Linked DNA regions of Ovis aries. The protein of the gene in region 1 interacts with the protein of each later gene in a pairwise test. Links are inferred from orthologs where the notes say so. Each region holds a gene or a part of one and is shown in the gene's direction. Other genes may lie near its edges.

Evidence for each region. The genes of interacting proteins can lie anywhere in the genome.
Region 2: the proteins of XRN1 (region 1) and ZFP36 interact in a two-hybrid assay, tested with the Homo sapiens proteins (2 studies listed by BioGRID). The link is inferred for Ovis aries from reciprocal best matches to the Homo sapiens genes XRN1 and ZFP36.

What each region holds. Positions count from the first base shown.
Region 1 is NC_056054.1:247,184,932-247,189,160, forward strand, and holds the start of XRN1 (5'-3' exoribonuclease 1), read left to right. Parts: upstream 1-1,429; 5' UTR 1,430-1,505; coding exon 1,506-1,580; exon of another isoform or gene 1,581-2,040; intron 2,041-4,229. Other genes in the region: serine/threonine-protein kinase ATR, read left to right, coding at 1-34. UniProt on the Homo sapiens protein: Major 5'-3' exoribonuclease involved in mRNA decay. Required for the 5'-3'-processing of the G4 tetraplex-containing DNA and RNA substrates. The kinetic of hydrolysis is faster for G4 RNA tetraplex than for G4 DNA tetraplex and monomeric RNA tetraplex.
Region 2 is NC_056067.1:48,457,739-48,461,216, forward strand, and holds ZFP36 (mRNA decay activator protein ZFP36), read left to right. Parts: upstream 1-1,150; coding exon 1,151-1,174; intron 1,175-2,024; coding exon 2,025-2,978; downstream 2,979-3,478. UniProt on the Homo sapiens protein: Zinc-finger RNA-binding protein that destabilizes several cytoplasmic AU-rich element (ARE)-containing mRNA transcripts by promoting their poly(A) tail removal or deadenylation, and hence provide a mechanism for attenuating protein synthesis.

The sequences.
Region 1 (4,229 bases):
CCAGATGTACCTTGGTTGGACCCCATATATGTAAAATAGAATTACTTTAAACAATATGTTAATAATCTAAATTTAATGCATTTGGTGCATTAATCTGTGGTTGTATCTATTCAATTCCAAAGTACAACATATGTTTATATTCTCAGAGTAACTGGTATTTCTCTCTGATTGTTAATAATATTTAAAATAATATATGTTATTATGAAATAAACAGTTTTCTTAATATATACTGTGTATTATAACTGGAGAAATGGAATATTGTATGTTTTTATGCTTTAAAAAGATATTTGCAAAAAACAAGCCAGCCTAATTTCATTTCACAATTTTCACTGATTGTAAGTGCTAGCATAAGGATTCATTTGAACAAAAAAATTATATTGAATAAATACTCTTTATGTTAACACTGTGCTATATTTGTGCACAAAGCTAACAATAGTTGCCCTGCCATCTGGGAATTGTCTAGTAAGAGAGATGTACAACATAAACAGCACATTATTAAGTTCACTTAGTAAAACTCTCTTTTTTTTGGTATGGTTGAAAATATGATAGGGAGAGAAAAGTTAGCCAATTAGCATGAATATGAAAACTATATAAATATTCTGCAATTTTAAAGATGCTACCATACTAAAAGTGTGCCAGAATGCAGAATCCTGTAGTTTGAGGGGAAAGCAGTACGTAACATTTCATGAGGTTTTAAAATCTAAACAGTTTTAATAATAAATTTGGGGGTATGTTTTATTACAGAAGATTTAAAATAATTGATAGTAATTACAAAGCAATGAGATTATATGCAAATAAATGGAAAACTTTTTATAACAGGTAATTTCGCTTAAGTTCACCTTACAGAATTCTGCCTTTTGTACAGTTTAAGTGTGATGGGGGTAACCCAAGAGGTATAAATGTGAAAACTAAACATATACTTTCCTATTCAAGGAAAGTCATAATGTAAACAGTTGTAGAGTAAGCTGGATGGAGGGGTGTTAGGAAATTATTTTAAGCAAGTAATCTGGAAAAAGAAAGTTTTGAAAAGAAACTGTGGTAACCTCGAAAAATTTCCACTCACAAAGTAAACCAAATAAATCATCAGACCTTTATAAATTCGTGTTGAAAACCACTGAGATTTGTAATCCCAGGAGACAGAGACAGCCAGGATTCTTACAGTCGTCTCATGGGGTTTCCACACCACTTCCAAATCCACTGATAGAGCACGGCTCCATCAACTGACATTTTCAGAATTGAATTTCACACGCGCATTCAAATACGCCTTGGGTTTCCTCCGTGTAACCCACCAGGAAGCTCGGCGGCGGGCCTTTCGGCTGGGACTAGAGCCCCGCCCCGGGGATGCGGCCTCGGAGCCGGCCGCTCTAGGCCCGGCGGCCGCTCTCTATGGTCGGGCGGGCGGTGTGTTGTCATCCGCGGAGCGACGGCCGGAGGCGGCTGCGTAGGCCCCGGCGGGGCGTTTGGTTTCTGTTGGGCCCTGACTGGAGTTAATATTGACGGCCGAAATGGGAGTCCCCAAGTTTTACCGATGGATCTCGGAGCGATATCCCTGCCTCAGCGAAGTGGTGAAGGAGCATCAGGTGGGTGACCACGGGGGCAGCGGCCGAGAAGGCGGAGGAGCCGGGGCTCGGCGGCCTTCTCCACCCTAGCACCTGGGCTCCCAGCCGCCTCCTGCTGCTCGTCGTCAGCTGGCTGAGCGGCGAAGGGAGGGGAGCAGGACGTTTGAGGACACCCTGGTGATCTGAGTGGGAGCGAACGCGCAGGTCGCCCTCCTGTGGGCAGAGCCGCGGGGATGCGGCGGTTCTGACAGCTCCTGCCGGGGCAGGGCCTACGTGACTCCGACATCAAGTCCGGGGGAGCAACGCTCTCGGGAGTGCTTCCCCTTCCTTCCCAGGAAGTTGCAGGTTTCGTTTTTCTTTCTAGAGGTTTCGAAGCGGAGTGGATGTTCTCCTAGGGCCTCCCCCGGGTCCTCACCCAGAGCCTGCAGCAGACCCACCTACGAACATTACTACCGGCCTCAGCCGCTGAATACCCCTGTTTACTTCCTCTTATCTCGAGCTGCATCCCGCCCCACCCCCAACGCCTAGACTTTCTGACGTGGCTGATGGTTCATATTTATGATGCCTTTCTGTACATTTTTTTCTACTACCCCAAGAACCGTACCAATCCCCCGTTCCGAAAGAAATAAAAATATATTTGGACGGGACCAGGGCACTTATTTGAAGGCTTCATTGTGCGTGTATGTGTGCTAGAGAAAGGTGGGGGGAGAGGAAGAAAAGAAGGGGGGAGAAAGGAGAGAGGAACAGATTGTAAGAGCAATAATACTTGTAATCGTCATATTCGGTATATAATGACCCCAGGGCAGAGTTTATGTGCACGTTTCAAAAATGTAGTTCATGTATTGGAACTGTGGCAAAAAATAGTAAGCCAGCAAACTCCGGGAGATAGTGAAGGACAGGAAAGCCTGGCGTGTTGCAGTAGACGGGCAAAGATTCCGACACGACTTAGCAACTGAACGACAACAGTATATTAGATAAACTAGAATTTGGGACTAGTGTTTGTTGCTTGTGTTTATTTAATGGTTTTGGTAGATCTCTTGTCCATTTTATATTTTACAGGGGAAAAATTATTTTTTAAATTTTTATAGCTAATTGACTTAGTTGTGATGATAGCATTGTTTAATATGAGGGGAAATAATCCAGTGAACACCATCATGCTGCTGCTGTTGCTGCTGCTAAATCACTTCAGTCGTGTCCGACTCTGTGCGACCCCGTAGACAGCAGCCCACCAGGCTCCCCGGGATTTTCCAGGCAAGAACACTGCAGTGGGTTCCCATTTCCTTCAATGCATGACAGTGAAAAGTGAAAGTGAAGTCCCTGAGTCCTGGCCGACTGTTAGCGACCCCATGTACGGCAGCCTACCAGGCTTCTCCGTCCATGGGATTTTCCAGGCAAGAGTATTGGAGTGGGGTGCCATTACCTTCTCCGGAACACCGTCATGCTGTCTCTTAAATTATGGTTTATTCTTTTTAAAAAGTACTAAAAGTGGGAAGGTAGGGTTAAACTTCCCGGAGGTATTCTTTGTTGTTGGAGTCCTATCAGATTTGGTATATGAGGAAAAGCTTACCAAAACTTGCAGAATGGTAGTTTGTCTTTAATTTATCTGAAACATAGTTTGAGTTAGGAAAACATTTCTTTCAGAGAAGAGGATGAAAATAGTGACAACTAACTTAGGTTTTTCCTGGATCCTTCACTCAACAAACATTTGAGTACCTGCCATGTATCAGTCTCTTTCTCTCTAAATTAAGACATTCAGACTAACTTGATAATACACAATCTGTTCAGTATTATTTTACCTCCCTACTCTTTGGCAAAGAATTTGGTTTGATGTAAGGATCTTGGATTTTCTCCATCTTGAGAAATTTTCTTGCTGAACAAAAATAATGGCTCTCAGGCAATTTTATGATATGAATCACTAATAATAGGTTTAAAACTTTGTTCATCAAAGTGATGTCTTTCAAAAAGCAATCACCAGCTACTCTCTCAAGCAGTACTTAAAAGATGGTAGTGCTAAGTAAGTCACAGTAGTTCAAAAGCTAGTCCTTGGGGGAAGGGATCGGATGGAGGAGTGGGTTCTAGTAAAATGATGGTAGTAATGACAGGGCATAGTTTTTGGTTTCTCTGAAAACTTATTTAAAAACAGATACTTATTTAGAAACAGATACTAGGTTGCAAAATTTAAATTGATAAAACAATTGCAAGAAAACCGTGGGACACAAGAATTCCAAGATAAAATAGGTGGGGACAGACTACCAATAACCTCTAGACCCTGTTGATATTGGCATCTCTGCAAGAGGAAAAGGAAAAAAATGGGGCAACATCTGATGAACCTGAGAAGAGAACTTCAGGATATTTACTAACTCTCCAAGCCTATTAGTAGCAGTAGCTGTAACTGAAGGGTTTTAAAGGGCAAGAGCAAACTAACTCCTGTGAACCTTCAAAACTGACTTCCCAAGGCACCATTCTAAGGCACAGCCTACCCTAAAGAAAAACTGCCAGGAGTGAAATAAAATTTAATCAGGAAAGGGACAAGAGAGATAAGAGAAGAAAGTGAAGATAAAAGTCGGGAAGAATTACACAGTCGAGAAATCTTAGAAAACAAACCAAGCAAACCACCGTATTTGTAATACTATCCCAAAGTAGCAGAAGAGGAAGCTTTAAAGTTTTCCT
Region 2 (3,478 bases), on another chromosome or scaffold:
ATAATAAAAGATCTCCCCCTTTCCAATCTTGAGTTTTCTTGAGTGCAAACTCCCTTTAATATGATTTAAGGCCCTGGTATTAAGCTAATGCCATTCACTAACAATAACTTGGCCTCTTCATGCCTGGGTTTCCCTGTGTTTAAAATGGGCATAATACCTCCTTGGGTTAATGTATGTAAGACACTTTCTGCAATTGTGCCTAGCCCAGAGGAAGCCATCAGAAGCGCCATTATTTGTGTGAGGGTGAGAGGACACAGCGGTCCTGTATTTGGGAAATGAGGCCCCTTTCCAACCTCACCAGGTGTGTGGGACCCCACCTCACCCCCAATCCTCGTGAATGGGAGCAAAGAGGGCGGTCCAGGTCTCAGGATCTGGGCAGTTCGGGAGCAAGACCGTCCAGGATTGGGGAGGCTCTTCTCTCACTGTTTTGCTCCTGCGGATTTCTGTCTGTGGATGTTTGTTTCTTCCAGTTTTCGCCCCTTCTCTATTTGTACGACTCTCCCTCCCTCCCGCTTCTCGCTCTGAATTTGTCTCTTTGGGGACTGTCTACGTCTCTTTTCAAGCTCTGCCTTCCCACCTCCCCTCCTCTCCTCACCCTGTCTCCCCCGCTCTGTGCATGTCTCCCTGTGTGCGTAGCTCCCCCCGTGTGTGTGTGTGCCCCCATGTTTTTCTCTTTGCGTCCCTCCATTTCTCTCTTGCTCTCGGTTCGCCTCTCCCCGCCCCTGTCGATCAGTGTCGCGCGCGCACGCCCTCTCCGCCTCTGCCCTTGTCAATTCCCCCGGGAGCCCTGCCCCCACCTCCGTCCCGGTTCCCTTCTCCGCGCCTCAGTCTCCAGCCTTGAAAACTGGGCCGACACCCCCACCCCCCACCTCACGCACTCCCCGCGGGGTCGCGACCGCCCGCGGGCCCCGCTCAGGCGAATTCGGGCCGGGATCCAGGCGGAAGGGCTCCGAACTCGGGCCGGCAGTGCTGCGCTGGGGGCGCGCGTCCGGGAAGCGCCCCTCCTCGCCCCGCCCTCCCGGGGCCAACTCCCCTTGGCCCCGCCTCCCCTCTGGTCGAATAAAAGTGGCGGCTCTTCCACTCCACCGCAGCGTGACTTCAGCGCTCCCACTTTCCGTCGGCTCTACATCCTTCGGCCATCTGCGCCGCCATGGATCTCGCCGCCATCTACAAGGTGAGCCCCCCAACCGATCGGCACCCCGACGTCCGCAACACCTGACTCCCTTCTCAAACCAGGGCTTTCTAGGGCCGCAAACAAATTCCTGCCCCGGACCAGCCCTCCCCGCACCGGTTTCCCTTCTCAAACTGGAACTCCTTAGCGCTTCACACCGGCCCGGGGTTCCTGCCTCCCGGATCAGATCAGTGTGATCCTCTGGGGATGAAAATGGAGCCTGTGGCTTTCTGATCTCGGCCCCAACACGAGTGGGGTGGCCCTCGGAGATGGAAAGCTGGAGAACTTTTCTCAGACCGGGGCTGTCTGGAGGCGGAAATGGCCCCCACACCTGGATTACCCGAGTAGTTGCTGAGGGCGCGGTTTTGCGCGGAGGCGTTTCTGGGGCTGGAGTCTCAGGGTGAGCGGGAGCTGACTTCTGTCTCTTCGCTCCCTGCCCCAGAGGATCTTGGAATTCTAAACCCGAAGAGATCCGGACTCCTGGCTTAATTTTGCCCGCTGTTCCACTTGTGAAATTGGAGAAACCGATGAGTGGGGTCAGATCCCGAGAGGCCCAGAGGCTTAAAAAATTGGAGAACAGCAGTCTGTCCTGACTTTAGGGCCCCTCTGATCCAGCCGGGGGAGCCGAGATTAGTGGGTCCCTCGGGATGAGCTTAAATCGCGAATAAACCTCCAAATCGGGATCCCTGAGATCCGGAACCCGAGGTTTGTTTTTTTTTTTTTTTTCCCTTAGGGCGGGTGGGGCTGAGGCCGGGAGCCCACAAACCGGACTGGCAAGCCCTTGGTTGCCCTGCAGCTGGGGCGGGGCGTCACCCTGTATTTTCGGTGTCTTAACCGATCGTTGTTTCCACAGAGCCTCCTGTCGCTGAGCCCTGAACTGCCATCCGACCTCGGAGAGACTGAGTCCAGCACCAGCTGGGCTTCCTCGGGACCCTGGAGCCTCAGCTCATCCGACTCCAGCCTGCCTGAGGCCGCTGCCCGCCTGCCTGGCCGCTCCACCAGCCTGGTGGAGGGTCGCAGCTGCGGCTGGGTGCCCCCACCCCCAGGCTTTGCGCCCCTGGCTCCTCGACCCAGCTCGGAGCTGTCGCCCTCACCCACCTCGCCTACCGCGACTCCCACCACCTCATCCCGCTACAAGACTGAACTATGTCGGACCTTCTCAGAAAGCGGGCGCTGCCGCTATGGGGCCAAGTGCCAGTTTGCCCATGGCCTGGGTGAGCTGCGCCAGCCCAGTCGCCACCCCAAGTATAAGACGGAGCTCTGCCACAAGTTCTACCTCCAGGGTCGCTGCCCCTACGGTTCGCGCTGCCACTTCATCCACAACCCCAGCGAGGACCTGGCTGCCCCCGGCCATCCCCATGTGCTGCGCCAGAGCATCAGTTTCTCAGGGCTGCCCTCGGGCCGCCGAACCTCGCCACCACCAGCAAGCTTAGCAGGCCCTTCCGTGCCCTCATGGTCCTTCTCGCCCTCCAGCTCCCCACCACCGCCACCCGGGGACCTTCCACTTTCACCCTCTGCTTTCTCTGCTGCCCCCGGGACACCTGTGTCCCGAAGGGACCCCACCCCAGCCTGTTGCCCTTCCTGCCGAAGGGCCACCCCCAACAGCGTCTGGGGGCCTGTGGGTGGCCTAGCTCGGAGCCCTTCTGCACACTCCCTGGGATCTGATCCCGACGAATATGCCAGCAGCGGCAGCAGCCTGGGGGGATCCGACTCACCTGTCTTTGAGGCTGGGGTTTTTGGGCCACCTCAGCCACCTGCCGCCCCTCGGCGACTTCCCATCTTCAATCGTATCTCCGTTTCGGAGTGACAAGTGCCTGCCTAGTACAGATCAGCTGGATCTTAAGGGGGGCCATTTTTCTTGTGCGTGGGTTCCACAAGGGGTCCCGGGGCTGTAGGGAACTGAGGGACTCGTAATCATGTAGTTCTCCCCACCTTCCAAAGTGCATTAACTCACTCCCCTGACCCCCGCGCTGGGGCAGGTCCTCAGCGTGCAGGCTGTTTGGGAAGGAGTGTTTTATGGGGTCTTTTAAAAAAAATGTAGCAAGTTTGAGGGAGGTAGTAAGCCTCTTCAACTTCACCCCTGCCCAATGCTGTGAATAATAAGCCCCCAATGCCCTCTTCCAGTTACTTCCTAGATCCTGGGGCTCCAGTGTCGTGATTGGAGCCTCACCTGAAAGGGAATCCTGGTGCTCAAACTTCCCTCCAAAAGCAAGTAGCCAAAGCCATTGCCAACGCCCGGCTCTCCCACCCCCGCCTTTGGGCCCTTTATTTATGACGACTTTATTTATTCTAATAGATTTTATAGTA